Linked DNA regions of Macaca mulatta. The protein of the gene in region 1 purifies or fractionates together with the protein of each later gene. This does not show direct contact. Links are inferred from orthologs where the notes say so. Each region holds a gene or a part of one and is shown in the gene's direction. Other genes may lie near its edges.

Region 1 (3,897 bases):
GGGTATTTTGGTAAAAGCAACCTGGATTCTCACTTTTTGACCAGAAGAAGAAAGTTGTCAGCACGAGTGTTACAGATGTGATTCCTCTATACTGAAGTGCTGCGCATGTTAATTACCGGGAGCAAGGCGGAGTCAGGGGCCGGGAGAAGGAGGCTGGTTGTGCAGATGCAGCCCAGCCTGAGACCCGGCAGAGCTGGGAAAGACAGCGGTGAGTCTGAGGCATTTCCTCCACTTCCGCAGTCCCCGAAACGACCTGGGACCTGGAACTCTGTGTGTATATTGTGTTTGTGTGTGGTGTGTCTGTGTTTTGTGTCTCTGTGTGTTGTGTGTCTCTGTGTGTGTTTTGCATGTCTGTGTGTTGTATGTGCATCTCTGTGTCTGTGCGTGCCTTTCTCTGTGTATAGTGTGTGTCTGTATTTGTGTGTGATATGTGTATCTCTGTGTGTCTCTGTATAAGTGGTATGTGTGTCTGTGTATCTCTGTGTCTGTGTGTGTGTGTTCTCTTGTGGTATGTGTCTGTGTGTGTGTTGTGTAGTGTGTATTGTATTTATGCCTCTATGTGTGTATCACTGAGTATAGTCTGTGTGTGTTGTGTGTATCTGTGTGTGTGTGTATGTGCATGTGTGTATGTATGTGTCTGTGTGTCTGTAGGTACTCAGGTCTGGAGAGGCAATGCTGGGGGTGAGGCCGTCCCCAGGGCATCACCATGGTGACCGGGCTGCTCAGGCTGTTTTACAGTCCTCAAGTAATGCATTCGCAGGAGATTTGAGCACAGGGCCTGGGGACTGGGTGACATCTGACATGGCTTCTCCTTTATCCTCTCATTTCTGTCTTTCTGGGCCAGAAAACATGGAATCGCTTCCCTAGTAGCCTGCTGGCTGTGAGAGACCAGCAGAAGCTGTCAGAAACTTGGGAAGCAAGGGCAGGTCCTTGGTTGGAGAAAGTGGAAGTTAAAAAAAAAAAAAATCTAATCTAAAAACCAGTAGGGCTCAATCCAGATTCCCAACTTTATTTCTCTTCCTCTTAGAACCTGCTGGATATTTTCGTAGAGATGGAGAAGAGGGTCATCCTGGGAGAAGGCAAGTTGGACATCCTGAAGAGAGTCTGTGCCCAAGTCAACAAGAGCCTGCTGAAGATAATCAATGACTATGAAGAATTCAGCAGAGGTAGAAACGACCTGACAGCCGGGAATTGGCAAAACCTACTCTAAAATTGAAACTGACAAATCTGTCCATGTCACAGTTGTTTCTAATCAAATATTGTTGGGGGTTTCCTCTTTTAATTCAGAGAGAACAAGGAGCCTTGAAGGAAGTCCTGAGGAAGGTTCAAATGGTAATGCTTGGAGATACATTTTCAAGATTTAGTTAATTTACTCTCTGGTACCTGCGTGTGTCCTCCCCACAGCCTTCTACCACATGCACGTCCTAATGTGCCTGCTCTACTTTTTTTTTTTTTTTTGAGACAGAGTCTTACTTTGTTGCCCAGGCTGGAGAGCAGTGGCACCATCTTGGCTCACTGCAACCTCCACCTCCTGGGTTCAAGCAATTCTCCTGCCTCAGCCTCCTGAGAAGCTGGAATTACAGGCGCGCACCACTACGCCCAGCTAATTTTGTGTTTTTATTAGAGATGGGGTTTCACCATGTTGGCCTGGCTGGTCTCAAACTCCTGACCTCAGGTGATCTGCCCACCTTGGCCTCCCAAAGTGCTGGGATTACAGGCGTGAGCCACCGCGCTCGGCCGCACCTGCTCTCCTAAGACCTGCAGCCCAGGCTGGCAAGTTTGAAACAGGTGCAGAGTGAGTCAGTCATAAGTAATTTAACATCATTTTTTCTATGTGACTTTTTTTTTCTCCTTGATGTGCTGCTCATGTTATTCCTTGATGTGCTGCTCATGTTATGCACTGAGTAGCTGGATTTAAATTATGTTTCATAATTTCCTTGGTTAAGTCACTTCCTCTGTCAACACCTTCTACACTAAACAACTCCTTTCAACTTCCTTTCACTTTTTCTACCTGGGTAAGCGAGGCTGAATCAAGAGAGAGAACTCTCAATGATCTCCTCCGAAATTTTGATTAATCAAATATTCTTTTGTTGTTGTTGTTGTTTTGAGACAGTGTCTCACTTTGTCCCCCAGGCTGGAATGCAGTGGCGCAATCTTGGCTCACCACAGCCTCTACCTCCTGGACTCAAACGATCCTCTTGCCTCAACCCCCTGAGTAGCTGGGACCACAGCACAAGCCACCATGCCTGGCTAATTTTTGTATTCTTGTAGAGATGGGGTTTCGCTGTGTTGCCCAGGCTGGTCTTAAACTCCTGAACTCAAGCCATCCGGCTACCTGGGCCTCCCAAAGTGCTGGGACTATAGGCAATTAATAAAGTATTCTTTCTGATTAGAAAAATTATATATACTCATTGAAGATGATTTTAAATTCAGATAAATTTTTATAAGTCCAAGAACGCCATCGCTCCATTAATATTGGTTATATTTTTATTGTATTTTTACCTTGGCTCTTTGTGGTGTGTGTGTATAAAATACATTTTGGATCATTCAAATGTATTTTAAAGATTAATGTCCACGCAGGCTCTCCTTCCCTTTCCTCCCTGCCTGCTGAGCCCAAGCTTTACTCCTTAAGAATACTTTAAGGAGTAAAGTACTAAATCATTAATTCATCCTAAGCTAGTGGCTTTATTAATGAGTATCTCACAAATACCACAAAAATTCAACCTGGCCATGTGGAGCAATATAAATTATGGCATTTCTTGGTATGTTTTTCTCTTTGGCGAGGAGACAATTTGATCTTATATTTCCAGAAGCATGTTAATTGCCCTGCTTGCAGAATCTCTCTGGGTTGAAAGGAGATTATATTTATGGCCGTCTGTGAATTTTCATTTCATTTCATTTATTTATTTGAGACAGAGTCTCACTCTGTCGCCCAGGCTGGAGTGCAGTGGTGGTGTGATCTCAGCTCACTGCAACCTCCACCTCCCGAGTTCAAGTGATTCTCCTGCCTCAGCCTCCTGAGCAGCTGGGACTACAGGTGCCTACCACCATGCCCGGCTAATTTTTTTTGTATTTTTAGTAGAGACAGGGTTTCACCATGTTGGCCAGGCTGGTCTCAAACTCCTGATCTCAAGTTATCTTCCCATCTTGGCCTCCCAAAGTGCTGGGATTACAGGCGTGAGCCACTGTGCCCAGCTTGAATTTTCATCTGAAAAAAGACCTTATGTTGTTCTATGTGCTACATATTTCATTACCAGTGTACCTTTCCTGCCATGTCTCATTCTACACGTGTCTCTTTGTTATTTGCAGGGGAGGAGTTGTGTGGGCTAATGACAATCTCGGACTCTCCAAGAGAACAGGATAGTGAATCACAGGTAGATGGAAACCTCCAAATCCTTTTTCTTTTTACATTACAGATTCTAGTTACTTAATTTGTTAGCTTTTTTTTTTTTTTTTTAAGCTGCCAGATAAACCGATAAGAGGCAAAAACTTACTGAAAATTTTGAGAACTGTAGAAAAAATTCACATAAAAACAGTTAAAAATATGACTTAATTTTTAAAACGTGACTCCTTCAGTTTTCTATGCATTCAAATTTTATTTTAAGACCCAAGATGAAGATACTGGAATAGTTGGAAGGTGGAGGGGGTAAGAAGCCTCCTACCAAATCTTCTAGCAGCCGTGCCAGCCTGGATGGGGGAGTGGTTTGGAGAGTCTAGCAGGAATGGAAAAAGCAAAGCCTTTTCGTTTGACTTAACATTTCAAAAATGCTTCTCCTTTGTGATTAGGTGTAAGCAGCAAACTCTCATAACCTAGCCATCTTTGTGTTTTCATCTCAGTGAACCAGCAGAAACATGTACTTTTTAGGCATCATAACTTCTCTTTATGTAACCAACCAT
Region 2 (4,484 bases), on another chromosome or scaffold:
TTTTGCCAAAACAGTGCCATCCTCCACCCAGCTCGCATCCCCATCTCTGCAGGTACTTACGGGCGAGAGGAGGATACTTTTCTAATTAAAAACCTGTGATATATGGCCTGACGAGTATTCTTAAATGTAATTAAAGGGACCACAGTACAGAATATTTCCAACTGGTTCTAGTTTAGCCAATCTAGTAAATGATCCAAAGGGTCCCGTGCTTAGAGGGCAGTAAGACAGTAAAAGCACCCTAAGCCTCCTCCCTGCACAGGACCTGCACCCCCACTGCCCAAGGGACTGCACCCATCTCCACATGACTCACTCTCCCTATGCAACGCATGGGGGTGGGGAAGGGAGCGCCAGTATTATCAGCCATCAGCACCCTGGGGTGAACTGATAATCAGGACAACTAAAAACACACCTAATAAAGCCTTGGAGACACATGGCAAGCACGGTGATGGACTAGAAGCGATTTCTAAGCTGAAATGCTGCTTGAATGCAATGTCAGCTGGATGCTTGGTGAGCAGAAATAGAGAAGGGGAAATGGAGCAAGGGTGGCATAGGGGTGAATGTTGTTCTGATTCCTAAGTTTACCTAAGATTGGGGCCACGGGGTCGGGTGTTCCCTGGGACCTACGTCTCATGCAGCCTGGGGTCCAGAGCTGGCAGGAACAATGGAGATGGGGACCAAAGGCTGTCACTGCTGCTTTTTCTCGAAATTCCCGCCCGGGTCCTGTCTGGGGCTCCCGCCTACGCGCTTATCACGTGCACAGCCCAAACTTTTCAGAGCCAGCCCGAGGCCTGCGGGCCCGGACGCCAGGGTGGTTTTTAGGGTTTTCTTTTTTTCTTATTTCCCTTCTTCTTCTCCACAGTTGATGATTTTCTGCAGAAAAACAACTGCGAAAAAGAACCTATTTCATTTCCAGTTCCCATCACCGCGATTTCCACATGGATGTGACGTGACCCCAGCTTCCGAAATGCCCAGGTGACTCACGCGGGGACACCCCGGGGCGGGGCGAGGGAGTTTCTCCCTGGGCCCGCGGGGACTGGGCGGGGCGAGGCAGCGGGGCGGGGCAGGGAAAGGGGGCGGGTCGGGGCGCGGAGGCCGCGAAAGCCCCTCGCCCCCTGCGCCCTCTGGCGGCCGGCGGGACGCAATTCGCAGCCCTACCCAGAGAGTCACGTGACTTTGGAAAGTACCGTGGAAATCCCCGGGCCTAGACCCGCATACAACTGAAACGGGGAAAAGCAGACTGCGCAGTCTGCAGTCTTCGTGGCGGGCCAAGCGAACTTGGAGCCCGCGGGGGCGGAGCGGCGATAGCGGCCGCCAAGAGAGATCACACCCCCGGCCGACCCTGCCAGCGAGCGAGCCCGACCCCGGGCGTCCATGGAGCGTCGCCTCCGCCCGGTCCCGGCCCCGACCTCCGCCTGCTGGGCGCTCCTGCTTTGACCCGGACTTGGGACTTTGCGAAAGGATCGCGGGGCCCGGAGAGGTAACCACTGCGCCTCCCAGTGCCGTCTGCCTCGGGCTCACCGCAGCCTAGGGCTGCGGATGCATGTTGGGCAGCGACCCCCGGGCTGGCTCCGTCTACCTGGCGTTGGTTTTGCAGCGCTCCTGGAGTGGGAGTTTGTTGGACGTTTGTTTCTGTCTGGGTTTTGAAGTGCTGGGAGTTGAGGTCACCGCTTCAGAGGTTGGAGTGACAGCCCTGGATACCTCCAGCCAGCTGTTCCTTTCGGATAATGCACGGAACTTAAGCTGCAGCTGACTGGTGAAGAGGCGCCCCTCGGGCCCTCTGATCGGGTGGTCGTTGATGCTTTGCTCCTTTCGTGTCTTTTTGGGAGCCAAGCGTTGCATGCTCCTGGCCACGTAGACCTTGCAGAAGCGCTGCGGCTTTTTCCCAAATTGTGCAGGGCCAGCCCGACGGGGAGTAGGGTACCGCAGTGGCCGCCAGCCCGGCGGAGGTGGGGGGCTTCAGTCCCAGAGACAGCTTCCCAGACGCTCAGGGGTCCGTGCACAGGGCTGGGGTCCTGGCGCAGGGTCTAGCTTTTCCAGCTGCAGCAGTGTAAGAGAAGTATGCATGTAGACATGGGTCGCTGGCGCCTGCTCCAGCCCCTACCCCACGGTTAGACTGTCTTTGTCAGCCGGAGTCGTCCCACATCCTGCCACCTGGCCTCTCAGGAAAGCAGTGGCATTAAGTAAGGAAGGAGCTTAACTCTTTTTGAACCCGCTTTGTTTTCAGTTCTCCTCGCCTCAGATCTTCTTGCCTTGGAAAGCCAGTCTGGTCAAGTGTCTCAGGGCAGCATTTTGGTGGAACCATTGTTAATTAAAGGGGCTTCTGGACCCGCAACCTTAATGTACTGGATTATTGAGCAGCCAATGAATGCTTCATTCTCATTGTTTAAGGTGCTGCTTTGATTTTTTTTTTTTTTTCAATTCTTAGTACTATTTTTGATAGGCACATCCCCAAATTTGGATGAGGTATTTGTTGATAAATAATTCATCAATTTCCACAACGCAGACAAAAATATCTGCCCAGAGTGGAAAAATAAAACAAGGGGGAGAAGAGTTTGAGCAATGGAGAAGTTCTGTAGAATCCTAGTGACAAAAGTTGAGAAATTACCTTTAAATAAGACAGAGAGGTAACAAATGTTAAGAAAAAAAAAAAGTTAAGGGTAATATTGCATTGTTTGCCACTTTATAATGTATCTGAAACATTTATTCTTTAATCTTAAGTGTAGAGAGATCCAAGAACTGGAAACTTGGACAGTGGGTTTTGATTTCTAAGGAGGCAGTTTTACAGGCTGTGCAAGGCTAAACCTACCAATGAGATCACACTGGGGTATCCAATATTGACATTTGCATGTCTTGCATATGGTTTACAGCTCTCACTATTTTAGATCTTTGGTGAAAAATCTTTAGATTCAGAAGAGAAAAAAGGGTCAGACAAGCAAAAAGAGATAACACCTCATTTGTTTAAAATCTTCCTATTGCCCATCTCTTTCCATCTGATTGTGGCAGGCACTGTAGCCACAGGTTTGGTGTTGTGGGATTGCAAGGGGCAGGTATTGAAAGACCTGGCTCCTAGGCAAAACTTCGCCCCTGAATGGCTGTGGGATCTGAGCAGTACCTGTAACTCCGTTGCCTTAGCTGCAGACTAAGTTGGTAGTGTGATTTCAAGGAAGGGAATAAGGTCATCTTTGACTTTTAATCCCATCATCAAGCATGGTGATTGGCCTTCAGTAGTGGTCAGGTAGTGCTTGTTGGGTGGATGGGTGGGTGGGTGGGTGGATGGATGGATGGATGGATGATATCGTGAGAGAGACTTTTGCTGTGCCACAAAGGAAAGGTGTATGTGTTATTTTTGTCCTGTTATGGTTTTGCCCAATTCCACCTGTAGAGGACGTCTGACATCAAAAGAGAGCACCATCTGATCCAGAGAATGACTCCCACTATGCCTTTCCCAGCAATCAGATTAAGAATCCTAATCTAAAACTATCACCAGAAAACTCCTCAGGAGAAACCATGGGTCATCTAGTCCAACCTCTCCCCTGTGAGTGGGCCACAAGAATTTAGACCACCTTATTAATGGTGTTAAGAGAGTCTAGACCCACGCAGGAGTAGCTACCCTAAAATCTAGATTTCTTCTCCTCCCTCTTCCATAGGTTTAACATTTTTATTAACTGGAGAGTTGCCCTGGCAAATAGGATGCGGCAGGAATGGAATTAACAATCACTGCGAAATTTCCTAGGGAATGTCTTTGTGCTCTGAAAACTTCTTCATCTTCTTGGAAATTAGGAATTGTGACCAGACACCCTACTAAGGGCTAGTGAATCCGAGCTGGCTTTTTACACTGTTCCATACTGGAGAGATCCCACATCATGTAAATTTGCATCATCCTGCACTGTTGGCATGGGTTGTAGATGCTGGTCTTTGCCGCCTTTCCTCCTTCATTTGCCAGAGTGGCTTCCTGGTGGAAACTTCTTTCCTTGTCTGCTTCTAGACTTTCATTCCTTCTACTAGTTGATTATGCTTAAAGATTTCAGGGTGAAAAGCCAGGCAGACATGCCCCTGTGTTGGTACCTGGAGGGTGATGATAAAATTTCATTGGCAGTTGAGTTAAAATGATTGAGCTCCAATATCTGTTCTTAGAAGTATAGAATTTATTGTTCTATTATTATTTTGTGGTTTTTCATTTTTTGTTTTCGTAGAGACCTGGGTCTCACTATGTTGCCCAGCCTAATCTCAAATTCATGAGCTCAAGTGATCCTCCCACCTAGACCTCCCAAAGTGCCAGGATTAAAGGCGTGAGCCACCATGCCTAGCCTATTGTTAGTCTGTTTCTTATTCTGATATGAAGTCCTATTGGGAGGTTCTGAAGGAATGCTGACTGCTCTTAAAATTACAAAGTATCTTGGTGGAAATGGGCTTTTTTATTGATTAGAAAACATTCGGTTTTAACTCTTTATAAACATTAGAATAAACTTTATGAATCCACACTT
Region 3 (3,820 bases), on another chromosome or scaffold:
TGCTGTTGGTAGAGACAGTCTCTCAAGAGTAATCCCAGCACTTTGGGAGGCTGAGATGGGAGGATCGCTCAAGGCCAGCAGTTCGAGACCAGCCTGGTCAATATAGCAAGACCAGGCCCGGCAGGTGGCTCACGCCTGTAATCCCAGCACTTTGGGAACCCGAGGCAGGTGGATCACGAAGTCAGGAGTTTGAGACCAGCCTGGCCAACATAGTGAAACCCCGTGTCTACTAAAAAAAAAAAAAGAATAAATACAAAAAATATATAGCAAGACCCCATCTCTTAAAAATTAAAAAAAAAAAAAAAAAGGTCGGGCTTGGTGGTTCACACCTGTAATCCCAGCACTTTGAGAGGCCAAGGCAGGTGGATCTTTTGAAGGCAGGAGTTCAAGACCAGCCTGGCCAATAAGGTGAAACCCTGTCTTTACTAAAAATTCAAAAATTAGCCGGGCATAGTGGTATGCGCAAGTAATCCCAGCTAGTCTGGAGGCTGAGGCACGAGAATCACTTGAGCCCAGGAGGCAGAGGTTGCAGTGAGCCGAGATTGTGCACTGCACTCCAGCCTGGGAACAGCAAAACTCGATCTCAAAAAAAAAAAAAGGTCTCTCAAAATAGGGCAATCCATGGAGGAAAATCAGTCCAAGTTCGGCAAGCATTTGTCGGTAGCTTGTGTGAGCTAGGCCCTGGGTACTTCAAGATCAAACAACAAATGTCTGTAGGTCATTCCGAGGTCAGCAGGGAGCCAGGTGGGTCAGCAGGGAGACAGTCACATTGGGAGTTAGGGCTTCAGCAGGGAGACAGGTGGGTCTCAGGTGATGTCAAGAGATCTCGGTCAGAGCTAGGCCTGAAGAAGATTCTGGTATCTCTGCTCAGGAATCAGGGGACCAGGATGGGCCATGAGACCACATTGGCGTTGCATTATGGTGGTGGTGTTGGTGGGAGGGTGGAGAGGCAGGGCTTGTCATGGAAAGTTGGATCTCAGGGTCAAGGTAAGGGGAGAAAGGCAGGGAGGCTCTCAGCACTTTGTGCTCTGGGTGCAGAGGGGACTGGAGGGTAGATTATGGAAGCAGGGAGCTCTAGTCCTGGGTTCTGCAGGGCCAAAGCAGGAGGCAGAAGGCTGGACTTAGTAAGTAGTGAGGATAGTGAGAGAAATATTCAGCAGTCAGACTGGAAAGGACTTGTCTGCAAGCTGGGTGTAGAGTATCAGCATCAATCCTAGGTTTTTCTGCCTGGTTAGGTGGTGAAGCAGATTTGAGAGAAAGACCTTAGTTTGGATAAACGGGGTCTGAACCCGCCTCTGATTAGCTCAGGAGGTCCCGGTTGGGGAGGGCACTCAGAGAGTAGACAGAGTCCTGGGAAAGGCAGGGGAGGAGAAGAGATTCACAGCTGACGTTTGGGGACAGAAGGAGGAGCCTGAGGAGGAGACAGGACAGAAGCGTCTGGAGAGGCAGGAGGACACTGAGTTCCCTGTGTTGGCCTCCAGGTCCTGTGCTTGCGGAGACCACTGGCGGCTGGAATCAAGGTGAACTTAGACCCCAGCCCGGGTGTTCACTGGGGGCAATGAGAGAGAGGTCACAGGCAGCGAGGGCAGGGGGGAGGGCAGCCCTCTATTACTTCTCTCCCCTTTCTCCATGCAGGCCTGACAATGGGCAACGCGCAGGAGCGGCCGTCGGAGACTATAGACCGCGAAAGGAAACGCCTGGTCGAGACATTGCAGGCGGACTCGGGGCTGCTGTTGGACGCGCTGTTGGCGCGAGGCGTGCTCACCGGGCCAGAGTACGAGGCATTGGATGCACTGCCTGATGCCGAGCGCAGGGTGCGCCGCCTACTGCTGCTGGTGCAGGGCAAGGGCGAGGCCGCCTGCCAGGAGCTGCTGCGCTGTGCCCAGCGTACCGCGGGCGCGCCTGACCCCGCCTGGGACTGGCAGCACGTGGGTCCGGGTGAGTGCTCGGGGCGGGGCCTAGGGCAGAGCGGGGACGGGGTGGGGCTGACCAAAGGCCCGGGGAGGGTGGGGTTGTCGTCTCCCCTAGAAGTAGGAGAGTGTGAAACCTCACAGGGATAAATTGAGCCTCAGTCACTCCCACTTCCGCCCCAGGTTACCGGGACCGCAGCTATGACCCTCCATGCCCAGGCCACTGGACGCCGGAGGCACCCGGCTCGGGGACCACATGCCCCGGGTTGCCCAGAGCTTCAGACACCGACGAGGCCGGGGGCCTGGAGGGCTGCGAGGCGGTGCAATCCGGGACCCCAGAGGAACCAGAGCCAGAGCTGGAAGCAGAGGCCTCTGAAGAGGCTGAACTGGAGCCAGAGCCAGAGCTGGAACCCGAGCCTGAAGCAGAACCAGAGCCGGAACTGGAGCCAGAACCGGACCCAGAGCCCGAGCCCGACTTCGAGGAAGGGGATGAGTCGGAAGGTGTGAGGCCACCCAAACCCTGAGCCGGCTTGGCGGGAGGGCATGGCCTGGGAAGTGGATGCGGGACCCCAACTCTTTGACCACTGTTCCCGTCATCTCTAGATTCCTGAAGGCCAGAACTCTGACTGGCCGTGCTCCGCCCATCCTGGATAGGACCTGGGATGCTGCTGGAGCCGAATCGGATGCCACCAAGGCTCAGTCCAGCCCAGTACTGCTGGAAGTGAATAAACTCCGGAGGGTCCACCGGGACCTGGGCTCTCTCCACGATTCTGGCTATTTGCCCAGGAACAGAGGGTGGGTACCTCTGAGTCCCAGGGACCTGGGCAGCCCCAAGCCTACCACAAGCATCATCCAGTCCTCAGCCCTAATCTGCCCTTAGGAGTCCAGGCTGCACCCTGGAGATCCCAGACTAATCCCCTTAGTGGGACAAGGACCTGACCCTCATGCCCACATACACAACCCATTTCCCCTCATGAGCCACTTGGCAGCCTGTGTAGGTACCAGCTCAACCCCATGCAAGTCCCTGGGCTGAACATGGAGCAAGGGGAGGGTGACTTCTCTCCACGTAGGGAGGGCTTAGAGCTCACAGCCTTGGGAAGTGAGATTAGAAGAGGGGAACAGAAAGGGACCTTGGGTAGACAGAGGCCACACACATCATTGTCATTACTGTTTTAATTGTCTGGCTTCCCTCTGAACTGGGAGCTCAGTGAGGACTCTGACCAGTAACTTACACAAAAGGCGCTCTATACATATTATAATATATTCAATGACTAAATGAACAAGGACTTTCCAACTGTGTTTCTGAGTTTTACAGATGGCAAAACTAAGGCCAAAGGATAGGAGTGGGGCTCATACAGCTAAGTCTGAAGGGAAACTGGAAGCAGCAGCCACCTCTGCACCTCACCTGGTCCAAGAGGGGTTCAGGACTTGGGCCACCAAACTCTAGGGCCTGTCCCTCAGGCGCAATTGCAGCTGCTCCTAGGCTATGCCAACCTCTGCCAGAGACCAGCTGTAAGGGTGTGAGCAAAGACAGGAACAGCAGAGGCCAGTAGAGGGAGTGGTGACAGGGCCAAGGGAGCTCTTGGGCTTGACTCTCAAGGCCTGAATCACTGTGTGTGTGTGTGTGTGTGTGTGTGTGTGTGTGTGTGTAATGGGAGTGGGGCTGGGAAAATTGGTGCCTTCCAGGAAGGAATGTCCTGTTCCCCCGCCCACAAAACCTTCAGGAGCTGCTGCTCCCAGTCACAGGAAGTAGACCATATAAATATGGAATAAATATATGACCAGTGACAGATGCAAAATGTCAGAAAGCAGACCCCAGACCAGCTGGGTCTCTACTACCAGGACCCCAGGCTCAGGCCATCAATCACCCCAGGAGAAGAGATCCCAACCCCTACCAGGACCCAGTGAGA
Region 4 (3,897 bases), on another chromosome or scaffold:
TGTTTAAATGTTTTGCTGAATTCAGCAGTGAAGCCATCTAGGTCCTGGGTGTTTCTTTGTTGGGAGACTTTTCATTACTGGTTCAATATCCTTAATCATTACTAGTCTGTTCAGATTTTCTATTTCTTCATGATTCAGTATTGGTAGGTTGTATGTGTCTAGAAATTTGTCCATTTCTCCCAGGTGGTTCAATCCTTTGGCATATAATTGTTCATAATATTTTCTTTTTTTTTTTATTTTTTTTATTTTTTTTTTGAGACGGAGTCTCGCTCTGTCGCCCAGGTTGGAGTGCAGTGGCCGGATCTCAGCTCACTGCAAGCTCCGCCTCCCAGGTTTACGCCATTCTCCTGCCTCAGCCTCCCGGGTAGCTGGGACCACAGGCGCCCGCCACCTCGCCCGGCTAGTTTTTTGTATTTTTTTTTAGTAGAGACGGGGTTTCACGGTGTTAGCCAGGATGGTCTCGATCTCCTGACCTCGTGATCTGCCCGTCTCGGCCTCCCAAAGTGCTGGGATAACAGGCTTGAGCCACCGCGCCCGGCCTGTTCATAATATTTTCATATGATCCTTTGCATTTCTGTCCATTGTAATGTGTCTCCTTGTTGTTTTTTTTGTTTGTTTGTTTTTTGTTTTCTTTGAGACAGAGTCTCCCTCTGTTGCCCAGGCTGGAGTGCAGTGGGATGATCTCAGCTTACTGCAACTTTCGCCTCCCAGGTTCAAGCGATCCTCATGACCCAGCCATCCAAGTAACTGGGATTACAGGTGTGCTCCACCATGCCTGGCTTTTTTTTTTTTTTTTTTTTGTATTTTAGTAGAGGTGAGGGTTTGCCATGTTGGCCAGTCCGGTCTCCAACTCCTGGCCTCAAGTGATCCATCTGTCTTGGCCTCCCAAAGTGCTGGGATTATAGGCGTGAGCCACCTCACCTGACCTCCTCATTCATTTTTTATTTGATTTGTCTTCTTTCTTTTGTCTTAGTCTAGTTAAAGGTTTGTTGATTTCATTTCTTTTTTTCAAATAACTAACAGAATTTTGATAGTCTTTTGTATTTTTTTCTAGTCTCTATTTTATTTATTTTTGCTCTGATTTTTATTATTTCTTTTGTTCTGCTAACTGTGGGCTTAGTGTATCTTTTTTTCTGTTTCCTTGAGGTATAACATTAAGTCTTGTATTCAAGATCTTTCTTCTTTTTTGATGTAGGCATTTATTGCCATTTCCTCTTAACACTGCTTTTGCTGCATCCCATAAATTTGGTTATGTTATCTTTCCATTTCATTTTCTTAATATATTTTTAAATTTTCCTTTTGATTTCTTCTTTGACACATTGGCTGCTCAAGAGCTTGTTACCATTCAAGTTCTTTGTTCATTTCTTAACCACATTGTTGGCTTGTGGTGGTTGTTGTTGAGTTGGAGTTTTTATATATTTTAGATATTAACCTTTTATCGGATATATAGCTAGTAAATGTTTTCCTCTTCCTGTGGGTTGCCCCTTCACCGTTGATTATCATTTGATGCACAAAAGTTTTTAATTTTTACATAGTGCAATTTATCTATTTTTTTCCTATATTGCTTGTGTTTTGGGGATCACATTCAAGAAATCATTGCCAAATCCAAGGTCATGAAGAATCGTTCCTATGTTTTCTCCTAAGTTTTAGGGTTTTCACTTTTATGTTAGATTTTGGATCCATTTTGAGTTAATTTTTGTATATATGTAAGTTAAAGGTCTGAGGTCATTGTTTTGTGATAAGTCAATATCTAGATTTCCCAAGACCATTTTAAAAAAGATTGTCCTCTCTCAATTAAATGGTCTTGGTACCTTTTCCAAAAATTACTTGATATATGTAGTCATGCACCACATAACAACATTTCTGCCAACAACAGACTGGATATATGATGGTGGCTCCAGCAATTATGTAACATACTACCCAGGTTTGTAGCCTAGGAGCAAGAGGCTATACCATATAGGCCAGGTGTGTCATAGGCTACACCATCTAGGTTTGTGTAAGCATGCTCTCTGATGTTCACACAACACAATCACCTAACAACCCTTTGCTCAGAACAATGTTGATCAATGCATGGCTGTACGTGCAAGTTCATTTCTGGGCTCTCTGATCTAGTCCATTGGTCTATATGTCAGGCACCTTTTAAAATCAGAAGTTCACTATTTAATGTTTGATCCTGTATCCCAATTTTTTAAGTTTGCTGTATTATAACCCCCATTTATAAAAATGTGTATGTGTGCCTGTGTGTCTGTTTGTGTGTGTGTCTGTGTAAGAGAGAGAGAATGAGAGAAAGAGAGAGAGAATAGGCATACCTATGGAAAAATAGTGGAACTAAATGAAACAAAATATTAATGGATGCTATCTTTAGCTGAGATTATCATGTGTGGTTTGTGTATTCTTCTAAAAACTTTCCTTGCCCACATTTTCTGGAATAAACATGTTTAGAAGAGTTTTTCAAGTGAATGTTACTTGGCCTTCCCTGAAATATGAAGGGACGAACAAACACGAAAGGATGTTTGAGAGGTGAGAGCTGCAAGAAAGATGAGGGTTCTGTTTAGCCTGCGTGCCTGGGGTCAAGGGAATGTGAGTGGATCCTGGGAGGGGTGAGCTCTGGAAGCCACTCACACCCATCCCTGCTTTGTCCCCACAGGTCTCAGCTGACTGTGCTCCAATCACCCGACAATCCCTAGATCCCCAGCGAAGAGCGGCTCCACAACAAAAGAGATCCAGCCCCATAGAGGGATTGTGTCCGCCTGGTATGTTTAAGATGGGTCTCTGATCCTTACCCCTCCTCCCCTTGTCTCCATGAGCTTCCAGTCTGTTTCCTTTGCACTTCCTGGTTCTTTATGCCACAGAGAGGCATTGGGTGCCTCCAGCTCAAGGCTCTGTCCTTCTGGAGCCTTCCTGCTAGGATGGTATCAAGACACACAAATGAATGAGACCGCCAAAGAGACTGATAGGCACCTTGAGGGAGAATTGAGTGGAACAGAGATGGGGCTGGTGAGGCCTCCAGGCAATGGTGACTTTGGGTTGACATCCGGAGGTGGGCAGGGCCAGAGGTGCAGAGAACCAGGAAGAGTGCTCCTAGGAGGGTTCCACTGGAACAATTGCCGGGGGTCAGGGGTTGGGGAAGATGGAGCAACGGCAGGGGACTACTGTGGGGAGTGGAGGGTTACGAAGTTAGAGAGACAGGTGGGTTCAAATCCTACAGAGAGGAAGCTGGATTTTATTTCACGAGTGATGGATGTCCCTGCGAAGTTTTCAGCAGAGGGCCACCAGCATTGGATGTGCATCCTGAGTGCCCACTCCTGGATTGAAGCGGAGCAAGACAGGAAGCAGGTGGAGGGCCTTGAGTGTGAGGCGCTCCCCTGGGATGTTATATGGTGCCCTGTAAGGTCATTTGAGCCCTGACAGATGCAGCAGGAACCTGGCCTGAAATGTGCTTGACTGCTGTGTTCACCTCGCACTTCTTTCCCTCTTTCCCCCGCGCGTATGAGGTAAGAATTGATTGCTGCATGAAGGTTTCCAGGGCTGGCAAGTGTGGCAAGCAGTGGCTTGTAAAATCCATTTACAAATTTGCATTTCTTTTCCATGACTAAGGGCCACAGGAAAGGCTTGCCTGAGGGCAAACTCTCACATTGCACGCGTGGGCTTGTCAGGAGCAGAGCATGGAGAAGGAAGAACCCAGTGTGAAGCAGACACAAACTCATCTGTAAATGCTCCTATTGCTGTGGTCCAGAGTCAAGACCAGGGAGCAGGACAGGAATGGGAAGAATTCAAGAAGTATTTGGGGTGTGGATGGATGACATGTGGGGAATGAGGACAATCAAGGCACCAAATTCAACCGCTCAGGGTAACTTGGCCTCTGAGGGGACAGTGTGTGGCAGGGTTAGCAGTGCA
Region 5 (2,578 bases), on another chromosome or scaffold:
ATGATACAGGTCACCCCAGTCCACCCCCTGAGAAAAAGGAGCAGAGGAAAGTGGCCCATTTAACAGGTCTGTATCTGGAAGGTACGGGTGGGGTTTGGGAAAGCTTTTGGCAAAAGGCAAAATGGCTGCCTGGTTTCCATTACCAGGTGCTAGAGAGTTGTTACTTCCTGGTGACAGTATTTGAACTCAATCATACTAACATTTTCCTTGTCGAGTCAGTCTTATAAACACACTTCGATCCCCTATTCTCTGGGCAAGGCCTTCTAAATTGGAGACCTGGAGCTGATTATGACATGACCCGTGCCCATAAGGAGCTCATTCTTTTCAGTCATTCCAAAGTCCCTTAGGTGATTGGGGGCACAGATCCAAGAGGTGAGAGCTGAGAAGGTGAGGAATGAGGACTTGTTTTAGTCAGCGCTTTCTTGGTTTTTTGGAAGAGCTTCACTCTGCTTTGTCCAAGAGTATAAACAGGAGCAAGAAGGGAGACTCACTCCTGGCACTTGTAGACTTTCAATATGTGCCTGTAAAGTGGAGTGAAATGATATGGTATGGGCACTCCCATTATAAACTCCCAAAAAAATAAATCATAAATAATGGAATAAATATCACAGAAAGTGGTAGGCTATTGTCCCTGGAATTATTTAGGCAGAAATTGTAGAATGATCCGGTCACATCAGCAGACACTTACTCAATACCTGATGTGCACCAATTTGGGGATGTGAAAATGAGTAGCATATGGCTCTTGCCCTCAGGGAGCTTGACATCTAATAGGGAAAGACAGGCATTTATGATAATTTCAGTACTGCAGAGATTTAGGTTATGTTCATGACGTTGTGGGGATACAAAGAAAAGGAAACTGTACCCCAAACTGAGGGGCTGAATAATTCTTACTGCAGGTGAGATGATGGACCAGATGGTCCCTAAGATCCTTCCCAACTTTAGAATTTTAGAGTTCCTTGGATTTGGCTTTTTTCTTCAGGAAAGGACTTCAAAGCCTAGCAGTTTGGGTGCTAGTTCTGAAGATAATAAAATCTTTGTGCTCCAGAGAGCTAATATTTTCTCAATAATTTCTTACTGCAATGGATTAGGCGACTATACTATTGTTCTAATTGTGTGGATGACAAAATAGGACAACAATGTTGAGGAAATTCTGTGATGGATCAAGTTCTGACCCCTCAGCCAGTTCTATACAGGCTGTAATTCTGAGTAGAACATTTGTTCAAGGAAGGGCCCACAGTTTTGCCTTAGAAACTTAGTTTGTTGGATGCATGACTATTCCTGGCTGAAAGCTCCTTTCGGATTTATTTCAGGCAAGCCCAACTCAAGGTCCATGCCTCTGGAATGGGAAGACACCTATGGAATTGTCCTGCTTTCTGGAGTGAAATATAAGAAGGGTGGCCTTGTGATCAATGAAACTGGGCTGTACTTTGTATATTCCAAAGTATACTTCCGGGGTCAATCTTGCACCAACCTGCCCCTGAGCCACAAGGTCTACATGAGGAACTCTAAGTATCCCCAGGATCTGGTGATGATGGAGGGGAAGATGATGAGCTACTGCACTACTGGGCAGATGTGGGCCCACAGCAGCTACCTGGGGGCAGTGTTCAATCTTACCAGTGCTGATCATTTATATGTCAATGTATCTGAGCTCTCTCTGGTCAATTTTGAGGAATCTCAGACATTTTTTGGCCTATATAAGCTCTAAGGAAAGCACTTTGGGATTCTTTCCATTATTATTCTTTGTTATAGGCACTGAAAATGTTGTATTCAGTGAGGGTCTCCTTACATGCATTTGAGGTCAAGTAAGAAGACGTGAACCAAGTGGACCTTGAGACCACAGGGTTCAAAAGGTCTGTAGCTCCTCAACTCACCTAACGTTTATGAGCCAGACAAATGGAGGAATATGACGGAAGAACGTAAAACTCTGGGCTGCCATGTGAAGAGGCAGAAGCATGAAAAAGCAGCCACCAGGTGTTCTACACTCATCTTAGTGCCTGAGAGTATTTGGGCACATTGAAAAGGACACCTTTTAACTCACCTCTCAGGGTGGGCCTTGCTACCTCAAGGGGGACTGTCTTTCAGATACATGGTTGTGACCTGAGGGTTTAAGGGATGGAAAAGGAGGACTAGAGGCTTGCATAATAAGCTAAAGAGGCTGAAAGAGGCCAATGCCCCACTGGCAGCATCTTCACTTCTAAACGCATCTCCTGAGCCATCAGTGAAGCTAACACAGAAACAAGAGAGATATTCTGGGGACTCATTCCATTCCTAACACAGCCTGTGTATTTCCAGTGCAATTGCAGGTGTGTGTGTGTGTGTGTGTGTGTGTGTGTGTGTGTGTGTCTAAAGAGAGAATATAGATATTGTGAAGTACATATTAGGAAAATATGGGTTGCATTTGGTGAAGATTTTGAATGCTTCCTGACAATCAACTCTAATAGTCTTTAGAAATAATTGATTGTCAGCTACTGAAGATGTTTTCCTATAATATAATAAATATTTATATATATGTTGTGCTTTTTGGGAAAAGAAAACATATAATAAAAAGTATATGTTAGGATACAAATAATTTTTAGAA
Region 6 (4,674 bases), on another chromosome or scaffold:
TCAAGAGATTCTCCTGCCGCGGCCTCGCGAGTAGCTGGGACTACAGGCGCGCGCCACCACGTCCGGCTAATTTTTGTATTTTTAGTAGAGATGGGGTTTCACCATATTGGCCAGGCTGGTCCTGAACTCCTGATCTCAGGTGATCCACCTGCCTCGGCCTCTCAAAGTGCTGGGATTACAGGCGTGAGCCACTGCGCCGGGCCGCCAATCTTGTTTTAAGGTTCCTGAAGGTTTGCGTACACAAGGCTTCACACTACTCGCCAGTTAATGTTCCCATATCTTCCGGGCTAACAGTTTCTCCCGGAATTTGTGCCACGTGTTTCCTGGGGCTTCAGATACGCTCGGCTGGGCTTGTACCTGGGACACATGGGCACCCCGTTTTGAGTGCCCACTGGCAGCAGCGATCTTGAAGCCGGATCCCCAGGGGCACCAGAAAATTCTGGTCTCCAGGGGGCGCTCCCTTGATCTACCGAAATCTGGCAGCTCTCGCTCTTACGAGCCCCCGGCCTCGTAAAAATCGCAAACCCCCAAAGTCCCGGTCTTCCTGCCGTCTAACCTTGGGCGCTGGTGTCTTACCTGCTCAGCGAACCAGATGGGCTTTGCCCGGGACAGGGGACTGGCAGCAGAGGGCAGCGGGCGGGAAGCAGCCACCGGGAGCCCGCGGAGCAGGACGCGCGGGCGGACTAGGAGGCTCGGGCTAGGGCACCGCCCCAGCGCCTCCGCGCACACCCGGAAGCGGCGCGAGTAGAGCGGAGCCTGGCGGGCGTGGGAACCCAGGCCCAGCCGAGGCGGCCAGGTTAGTGCAGTTGGTGGGTGGGTGTGTGGGTGGGCTCCCCAGTGCGGGCGGGAGCGGAGGTGGATCTTGGCTCCGAAGCGTGGGCGCGGCGCAGATGTCACCAGCGGCTGCTCCAGCCAGCTGGTGGCGGCGGCCTATTGGGCTGTTCCCGTGGGAGGCGGGGGGCGGTACTGAATTTGGCCCCCGCAGGCTCTTCGTCCCTGCCAGCGCTTTCGAGGAGCAGTAGGGCCCCGCAGGAGAGAGGGTGGGGGAGGAGGGGTGGTTCTGAACACCTCCTTGAGCGGAGACCCCCCTGTCCACCCCAGCCGATCGCACGTGCGAAACCCCAGCTTGAGGGTGGGCTAGTGGGAGCCTGGGAAGCTCCCCTCCAGCGCTCGGGAGCTGCGTAGCTGAGTAGGGGGTGTGCCCGGCGGGTCGCAAGGAGTCGCAGGCTTTCATTTCTGGGCCACGCCCACAGGCTGTCCCTGTCCACCCAGCCAGAGGTGGGGCTGCCCCCGGGACTGTTAAGTGTTCAAGGGGCACCGTGCGTGGCTCGCCCCTGGAAATGGCGGCAGACGTTGTTAGGTCGGTACCCAAGTGCCCCACAGTCTCCGGCCACCAAACGTTCTCAGGACCCAGCCTGGAAGCCTCAGCCCCTCCCAAAAAGGGACGACTACGGGTGGGTGGGGCGCGGGGCTTCCCAAGGAGGGGCTTCTGTGAAAGAACACGTTAGAAGAGCTGCCAATCGGCGGATGCGAAACTAGGGCCCTGGCCTCTTTACCCTGTTAACTCGACCTCCAGCCTGGCTTACCTCCCCCATGGGTCTGGTACTAGTGAGTGTGAGGAAGCATCCCCAGTCTCCAGGTTCCCAGTACTCCCTGCCTCCCCACCCTCCCCTGCAGACCTGATGGGCAGACATTGGTCCCGTTTGGTCCCCACTTCCACCCCTTGGGGTGGGGCCACAACCATCGGGTCAGCACTCCCAAGTCAAGGGGCTAGGAAGACGTGAAAGAGGGAACGTTTCCAGGGGAGGTTCTCACTCTCTCCTACTCCCCAGGCCACTTTCCTAGGACTCCCCCTTATCTCACCTCCGTGGCTGGCTCCCTATCATGGACCCACTTGTCACCTGCAGAGTTTCCCACTTTTTCTTGTTTTGCTTTTAAAGAAAACAAATTTATTTTGCTCTTTTAATACAAAGAAAATGTCTCTACTTCACATAAAGCAGAAAATATTGCTAAATACAAAGAAAATAAAAATCACCCACAATCCTTCCCCACCCCCACCTCCCTCCCTCCATCCTGCCCAGAGATAAACAAAATGCAAATTTCCTGTTACTATCCAGACTGTGGTTTGGTGTAAGTACACAGTATTAATGTTTTCTATGAAAAGATTAGGAGGCCAGGTGTGGTGCCTCACACCTGTGATCCCAGCACTTTGGGAGGCTGAGGTGGGCAGATCGCTTGAGCCCAGGAGTTTGAGACCAGCCTGGGCAACATGGTGAAACTCCATCTCTACTAAAAATACAAAAACTAGCCAGGCTTGGTGGCGCATGCCTAAAGTCCTAGCTACTTGAAAGGCTGAGGTGAGAGGATTGCTTGAGCCGGGAAGGTCAAGGCTGCAGTGAGCCGTGATAGTGCCACTGCACTCCAGCCTGGGTGACAGAGCAAGACCCTGTCTCAAAAACAAGAAAATTTAGAAAACAAAGGTCGAGAGTAGTGGCTTACTCCTGTAATTCCAGCACGTTGCGAGGCCAGGACAGGATAGCTTCCTGTTCCTCATGTAAACAGATGGCAGCTGGGGCCACCCCATCTGTCCTGCCCCATAGCTAACACTCAACACTCCTCCTAGCCCACCATATATAAACCCTGATGACTGGAGAGTGCAGGAGTGTGACTGATGGGGCAGGAGGTAGGGCCTTGATCCCATGATTCTAGGAAAAGGGTAAGGTGGGGAGAAAGAGGGAGGGCAGTTTCTTACTTGCTGTCTCATGGGGTAGTAACTGGGAGACCACTGAGCTGTGGGTCAGTGCAGTGGTTCCCTGGCTGGGAATTTTGCCTCAGCTGGTCCAGGGCTAGGTTTTTGTCAGAAGATGGAGGAAGGAGATACTATGCTAGCACCAAGGGGCCCTGGCTTTTTCTGGACAGGGAAGGAATAGAACAATTTGTGTTGGAAATGACCAGAGCCGAACTCCAAGGGCTTTACAACAAAAAAGGATTATTTAGCTCACATAACTGAAAAGTCCAGGGTGCAGTGGCTTCAGGAACAGCTGGATCCAGGGGCGTAGTATGGTTGGGAATGCACTGCTCCATCTCTTGACTATTTCTTTCTGTGTCAGCTTCATTCCCAGCCAGACTCTTCCCAAGCAGTATTAAAGGAGAGCTACCTCTTCCTTCCAGTTCAGTCCCAAGGGAAGGGAAAGGAGTGCCTCTTTCCTATTGGCTCAACCAGAGTTGCAGGGTTGATTCTCATGGGTCCAACTTAAGTCCTACACCCTGCTCTGAACTAATCACTGCAGAAATGTGAATGGAATGTGCAGATTAGCCAGGTCTGGTGCACAAGCCCGACCTGAAACTAGGGAGTGGGACACAGGCACATGGATTGAGAAGAGGGAGGAGGGAAGTCCCTAAGGTAAGTCAGGCTTTCAGGAGGGAATCTGGGTAGATGCAAACTGCAGGTGTCCTTCAAAGTGAAGACAGGAGGTTTAGTCTTAGGCTGAGGTCCTCCAGAGATGCTGGGCTCAAGTCTACTCAGAAGGCAAGGCCAGGAGCATATGGGTCTTGTTGGCTTTGGGGCATGAGCACCATCCAGCATGAAGATGTCTCTGGTCCATGGTGGTTAGAGAGACACACAGGCCTGAGGAGGAGGCAGAGAAGCCCCACTGCAGAATCTGCCTCTGCTCCCCTCCACTGTGACCCTGGGCTCTTTCGCTGAGAAGGCAGTGGAGGGACAGTCCTCACTGCAAGCGTGGGGTGGGTGGGACTCAGTATAGGGCCAGGAGCTCAAGGGGCTTCCTGTGAGATGGTGAACTCCTGTCCCAAGTATGCCAACCAGTGGTGGGGACAACTGAACCATGTGGGACTTGAGGTTACTGTGGAGACGCTGAACCACGTGGGGCTGGACGGTTGTCTCCAGGGCAGAGGGAGGGGGGATGAACTGGATACCCGACTGTCTGCATCTCCAGGAGGTGAGATGGCAGCTGGGCAAAATGGGCACGAAGAGTGGGTGGGCAGCGCATACCTGTTTGTGGAATCCTCGCTGGACAAGGTGGTCCTGTCGGATGCCTACGCGCACCCCCAGCAGAAGGTGGCAGTGTACAGGGCTCTGCAGGCTGCCTTGGCAGGTGCGTGGGTGGGCGGGCATGTGGAGAGGAAGGGGTGGCCTGGGGCATTTTGTGGGTGGGCCTGGGCTTAGCCACCTTTAAGGAGAAGATTTAGGGTGGGAGGAGCAAGACAGAGGACCCCTGGCTGTGCAGGCTCTCTTCTCTGCTTGTGGCATGACCTTGACGGTAGACGTGTGTCCTCGTCTGTGTATGATTTACCTATTTGTGCACTAACATCTCTTGCTCCCTCGCCGCCCCCCTCCACCAGCTGGCTCACTCCTTTCTACTAATTGTGGATGTCTCTCTCCTCTTTTCCTCTCTTACTCCAGCACTCCTTGCTCAAGACCCCTCCCCAGTACCTACCCTTCCAGGCCCCCCTTTCCCATCTCAGGGCAGAGGCCACAGGAGGCTGAAGCGGGTTGGGGGATCTGTTCGTGGCCTCAGAGCAGCGACAGCCGCCGCTCTTCTTCCCGAGCAGTGGGAGCCGCGCTTGGTGGAGGCCGAACACCTGAGACCTCCCGCCCTCCTCTGCCCTGCTGGCCGCCTACCCAGACGGCTTGGTTGCCCAGGGCACACGCCC
Region 7 (3,897 bases), on another chromosome or scaffold:
ACATAGCATGGGCACAGTGGGCACAGTGCCTGGGTACAGTGTGGTCTGCCTTTCAGAATTAGACATTGCAGAGTCAGACACAAAAAGGACACAACTATCCTCAAGGCCAGGCGGGAGAGCTTACATTGGATAAAAATCAATGTTTTGATGTGATACTCTTCAGAAAAGACCAAAGTCTGTGAGAGATAAAATGTGCTCTTCCTTTGTAGGGTGACACCTGAATAAAGGCTAAAAATAGTAGCTATCATATATTGAGTTATAACTTTGTACGAGATACTATACATGAATTCTTGTAACAACTTCCTAAGTTAAATACTGTTCTCCACACCATTGTACGGATGAGGAATCCCTGGTGTGCTGGAGCTGGTTCTTACTGTGATGTGAAACCTGATTATTGAATTTTCAGGATTTTGTTAGCCAGCTGACATACACTGTTAGCTTGAAATAGGCCATGGTAGGAATATTTATACCACAGGGATTGGTGAATGCTACAAATTAGGGCCTTTACTCCTAGAAGGCCAGTTTGTGAAACCATTTAGCAGCACATAACTTTTTTTGTTGTTGTTGAGATGGAGTTTTGCTCTTGTTGCCCAGGCTGGAGTGCAATGGTGCAATCTCGGCTCACTGCAACCTCCACCTCCCAGGTTCAAGCGATTCTCCTGCCTCAGCCTCCCGAGTAGCTGAGACTACAGGCATGCACCACCACACCTGGCTAATTTTGCATTTTTAGTAGAGACAGGGTTTCTCCATGTGGTCAGGCTGGTCTCAAACTCCTGACCTCTGGTGATCCACCCGCCTCGGCCTCCCAAAGTGCTGGAATTACAGGTGTGAGCCACCGTGCCCAGCCAGCAGCACAGAATTGAAATAGACTCAAAGAGGCTTAGTGACTTGCCAAAGTCACACAGATGGTAGCAAGTGGCAGATCCTAGGCCAGTGCTGTTATTCTAAAGCCAACGGTCTTACCACTACGACCTCAATGGGGACTGTTTTATATCGGAGGGACAAGATAACTCACCTTACTTCATCACCAAAGCAAAACCATCTTGCTCATCAATGACTCTGGGGTTAGAACTGCTTTGCAGAGCATTTCTTAAAGGCCTGGAATTCAAGCATTTGGCATCTCCATAACTCAGGAGATGCCCACAGGAAAAAAATGCATGGCCCTAATGCTCTGGAGACAGATGCTGACATGCACATTATATATAAACAAATAAATATATATATTTCTTCCCATCTCCTCAGTGAATTTCATAAAGGACAATATCCGAGCCCTTATTCAAAGAATGGGAATGACTGTTGTAAAGCAAATTACAGATGACCTATTTGCATGGAATGTTCTGAATTACGAAGAAGTATGCAACATTTGCTGCGAGAAGGTGGAGCAGGATGCTGCGAGAGGGATCATTCACATGATTTTGAAAAAGGGTTCAGAGGCCTGTAACCTCTTTCTTAAATCCCTTGAGGAATGGAACTATCCTCTATTTCAGGACTTGAATGGACAAAGTAAGTATCATTTAGTTTTGCAGATGGCAGAGCCTCTGCTTTTCCTCCTCTTCATATCACCTGGCAATGGCCTTTGATTCCTGCTAAAGAAAAGCTTAGATGATTTTAGGAAAAATTCATAGTAGATCAATTGATGGTGAAGCCAAACAACCCCAGGGCCAGGGAATAAATGACTGAGTATAGTGTCACTGCAAGATAAAACAGGACAATGAGTGTACTAGTTAAGCTGCCAATGCAGCAGTGGTTCTCAGCGTTCCCTGCTTGGATGAGATCTACCTATGGGAGAGAGGCCCAGCTGACTACCTACCATGTCCAGGCCTCCTGGTAAAGACAGCCTGACTGACACAAGAGCACAATTCTATTTTTCATGAAATATGAATTCAGTTTTTATTTTTTTAAATTAGTAAATAAGGTCATGACAGATTTTACTTAGAGTGAAGGCCTAATATGCTGACAGTTACCCCAACCATCTTTCTCCGCCAAATTCTTTACTTTCCTTAACCCATACACAAGCTCCTCCCTGTTCCAACCAGCTGCTATAAGATTTGGTTGTGGAAAGGAGGAAACAGAAAGCAAAAAGGGGAGTGGGGTAAAGGATGCCGGGGAAAGGGGGAGCAGACAGGACCCTTTGTGCCTGCTCGGAACTGGGAAAGGACATTACGTTCACCAATGGCAGATTCTCAGCCTCACCCCCTCGTTCATCCTCCTGAACACTAGGTTTTGAGGAGACACAGAATTGGGTCCTCTTTAACATCACCTCTTCTCTAATAGGTCTTTTCTATCAGATATCAGAAGGAGACTTGGACGATTTGGCTCAGGATTTAAAGGGCTGGTACCATACCCCATCTTTTCTGAACTTCTATCCCCTTGGTGAAGATATTGACATTATTTTTAGCCTCAAAAGCACCTTCACAGAACCTGTCCTGTGGAGGAAGGACCAACACCATCACTGCGTGGAGCAGCTGACCCTGAACGGCCTCCTGCAGGCTCTTCAGAGCCCCTGCATCATTGAAGGGGAATCTGGCAAAGGGAAGTCCACTCTGCTGCAGCGAATTGCCATGCTCTGGGGCTCCGGAAAGTGCGAGGCTCTGACCAAGTTCAAATTCGTCTTCTTCATCCGTCTCAGCAGGGCCCAGGGCGGACTTTTTGAAACCCTCTGTGATCAGGTCTTGGATATACCAGACACACTCAGGAAGCAGACATTCATGGCCATGCTGCTGAAGCTACGGCAGAGGGTTCTTTTTCTTCTTGATGGCTACAATGAATTCAAGCCCCAGAACTGCCCAGAAATCGAAGCCCTGATAAAGGAAAACCACCGCTTCAAGAACATGGTCATCGTGACCACCACCACTGAGTGCCTGAGGCACATACGGCAGTTTGGTGCCCTGATTGCTGAGGTGGGGGATATGACAGAAGACAGCGCGCAGGCTCTCATCCGAGAAGTGCTGATCGAGGAGCTTGCTGAAGGCTTGTTGCTCCAAATTCAGAAATCCAGGTGCTTGAGGAATCTCATGAAGACCCCTCTCTTTGTGGTCATCACTTGTGCAATCCAGATGGGTGAAAGTGAGTTCCACTCTCACACACAAACAACACTGTTCCATACCTTCTATGATCTGTTGATACAGAAAAACAAACACAAACATAAAGGTGTGACTGCAAGTGACTTCATTCGGAGCCTGGACCACTGTGGAGACCTAGCTCTGGAGGGTGTGTTCTCCCACAAGTTTGATTTCAAACTGGAGGATGTGTCCAGCGTGAATGAGGAAGTCCTGCTGACAACTGGGCTCCTCTGTAAATATACGGCTCAAAGGTTCAAGCCAAAGTATAAATTCTTTCACAAGTCATTCCAGGAGTACACAGCAGGACGAAGACTCAGCAGTTTATTGACGTCTCATGAGCCAGAGGAGGTGACCAAGGGGAATGGTTACTTGCAGAAAATGGTTTCCATTTCGGACATTACATCCACGTATAGCAGCCTGCTCCGGTACACCTGTGGGTCATCTGTGGAAGCCACCAGGGCTGTTATGAAGCACCTCGCAGCAGTGTATCAACATGGCTGCCTTCTCGGGCTTTCCATCACCAAGAGGCCTCTCTGGAGACAGGAATCTTTGCAAAGTGTGAAAAACACCACTGAGCAAGAAATTCTGAAAGCCATAAACATCAATTCCTTTGTAGAGTGTGGCATCCATTTATATCATGAGAGTACATCCAAATCAGCCCTCAGCCAAGAATTTGAAGCTTTCTTTCAAGGTAAAAGCTTATATATCAACTCAGAGAACATCCCCGATTACTTATTTGACTTCTTTGAACACTTGCCCAATTGTGCAAGCGCTCTGGACTTCATTAAACTGGACTTCTATGGGGGAGCTATGGCTTCATGGGACAAGGCAGCAG

Evidence for each region.
Region 2: the proteins of CASP8 (region 1) and TNFAIP3 purify together in Homo sapiens (affinity purification with western blotting; 3 studies listed by BioGRID and IntAct, with this or other methods). This does not show direct contact. The link is inferred for Macaca mulatta from reciprocal best matches to the Homo sapiens genes CASP8 and TNFAIP3.
Region 3: the proteins of CASP8 (region 1) and NOL3 purify together in Homo sapiens (affinity purification with western blotting; 3 studies listed by BioGRID and IntAct, with this or other methods). This does not show direct contact. The link is inferred for Macaca mulatta from reciprocal best matches to the Homo sapiens genes CASP8 and NOL3.
Region 4: the proteins of CASP8 (region 1) and TNFRSF10B purify together in Homo sapiens (affinity purification with western blotting; 14 studies listed by BioGRID and IntAct, counting the BioPlex papers as one, with this or other methods). This does not show direct contact. The link is inferred for Macaca mulatta from reciprocal best matches to the Homo sapiens genes CASP8 and TNFRSF10B.
Region 5: the proteins of CASP8 (region 1) and FASLG purify together in Homo sapiens (co-immunoprecipitation; 8 studies listed by BioGRID and IntAct, with this or other methods). This does not show direct contact. The link is inferred for Macaca mulatta from reciprocal best matches to the Homo sapiens genes CASP8 and FASLG.
Region 6: the proteins of CASP8 (region 1) and TRADD purify together in Homo sapiens (affinity purification with western blotting; 6 studies listed by BioGRID and IntAct, with this or other methods). This does not show direct contact. The link is inferred for Macaca mulatta from reciprocal best matches to the Homo sapiens genes CASP8 and TRADD.
Region 7: the proteins of CASP8 (region 1) and NLRC4 purify together in Homo sapiens (affinity purification with western blotting; 3 studies listed by BioGRID and IntAct, with this or other methods). This does not show direct contact. The link is inferred for Macaca mulatta from reciprocal best matches to the Homo sapiens genes CASP8 and NLRC4.

What each region holds. Positions count from the first base shown.
Region 1 is NC_133417.1:106,386,142-106,390,038, forward strand, and holds part of CASP8 (caspase-8), read left to right. Parts: intron 1-1,027; coding exon 1,028-1,166; intron 1,167-1,287; coding exon 1,288-1,332; intron 1,333-3,309; coding exon 3,310-3,374; intron 3,375-3,897. UniProt on the Homo sapiens protein: Thiol protease that plays a key role in programmed cell death by acting as a molecular switch for apoptosis, necroptosis and pyroptosis, and is required to prevent tissue damage during embryonic development and adulthood.
Region 2 is NC_133409.1:42,959,847-42,964,330, forward strand, and holds the start of TNFAIP3 (tumor necrosis factor alpha-induced protein 3), read left to right. Parts: upstream 1-1,424; 5' UTR 1,425-1,477; exon of another isoform or gene 1,478-2,337; coding exon of another isoform or gene 2,338-2,388; intron 2,389-3,309; exon of another isoform or gene 3,310-3,535; intron 3,536-4,320; exon of another isoform or gene 4,321-4,484. UniProt on the Homo sapiens protein: Ubiquitin-editing enzyme that contains both ubiquitin ligase and deubiquitinase activities.
Region 3 is NC_133425.1:62,715,790-62,719,609, forward strand, and holds NOL3 (nucleolar protein 3), read left to right. Parts: upstream 1-1,429; 5' UTR 1,430-1,520; intron 1,521-1,635; 5' UTR 1,636-1,643; coding exon 1,644-1,928; coding exon of another isoform or gene 1,929-1,938; intron 1,939-2,093; coding exon 2,094-2,411; intron 2,412-2,513; coding exon 2,514-2,564; 3' UTR 2,565-3,190; downstream 3,191-3,820.
Region 4 is NC_133413.1:24,712,953-24,716,849, reverse strand, and holds part of TNFRSF10B (tumor necrosis factor receptor superfamily member 10B), read left to right. Parts: intron 1-2,647; coding exon 2,648-2,753; exon of another isoform or gene 2,754-3,762; coding exon of another isoform or gene 3,763-3,850; intron 3,851-3,897. UniProt on the Homo sapiens protein: Receptor for the cytotoxic ligand TNFSF10/TRAIL. The adapter molecule FADD recruits caspase-8 to the activated receptor.
Region 5 is NC_133406.1:30,162,575-30,165,152, forward strand, and holds the end of FASLG (tumor necrosis factor ligand superfamily member 6), read left to right. Parts: intron 1-9; coding exon 10-66; intron 67-1,310; coding exon 1,311-1,705; 3' UTR 1,706-1,721; downstream 1,722-2,578. UniProt on the Homo sapiens protein: Cytokine that binds to TNFRSF6/FAS, a receptor that transduces the apoptotic signal into cells. Involved in cytotoxic T-cell-mediated apoptosis, natural killer cell-mediated apoptosis and in T-cell development.
Region 6 is NC_133425.1:62,699,093-62,703,766, reverse strand, and holds the start of TRADD (tumor necrosis factor receptor type 1-associated DEATH domain protein), read left to right. Parts: upstream 1-1,788; 5' UTR 1,789-3,793; coding exon 3,794-4,115; intron 4,116-4,674. UniProt on the Homo sapiens protein: Adapter molecule for TNFRSF1A/TNFR1 that specifically associates with the cytoplasmic domain of activated TNFRSF1A/TNFR1 mediating its interaction with FADD.
Region 7 is NC_133418.1:92,672,124-92,676,020, forward strand, and holds part of NLRC4 (NLR family CARD domain-containing protein 4), read left to right. Parts: intron 1-1,242; coding exon 1,243-1,503; intron 1,504-2,274; coding exon 2,275-3,897.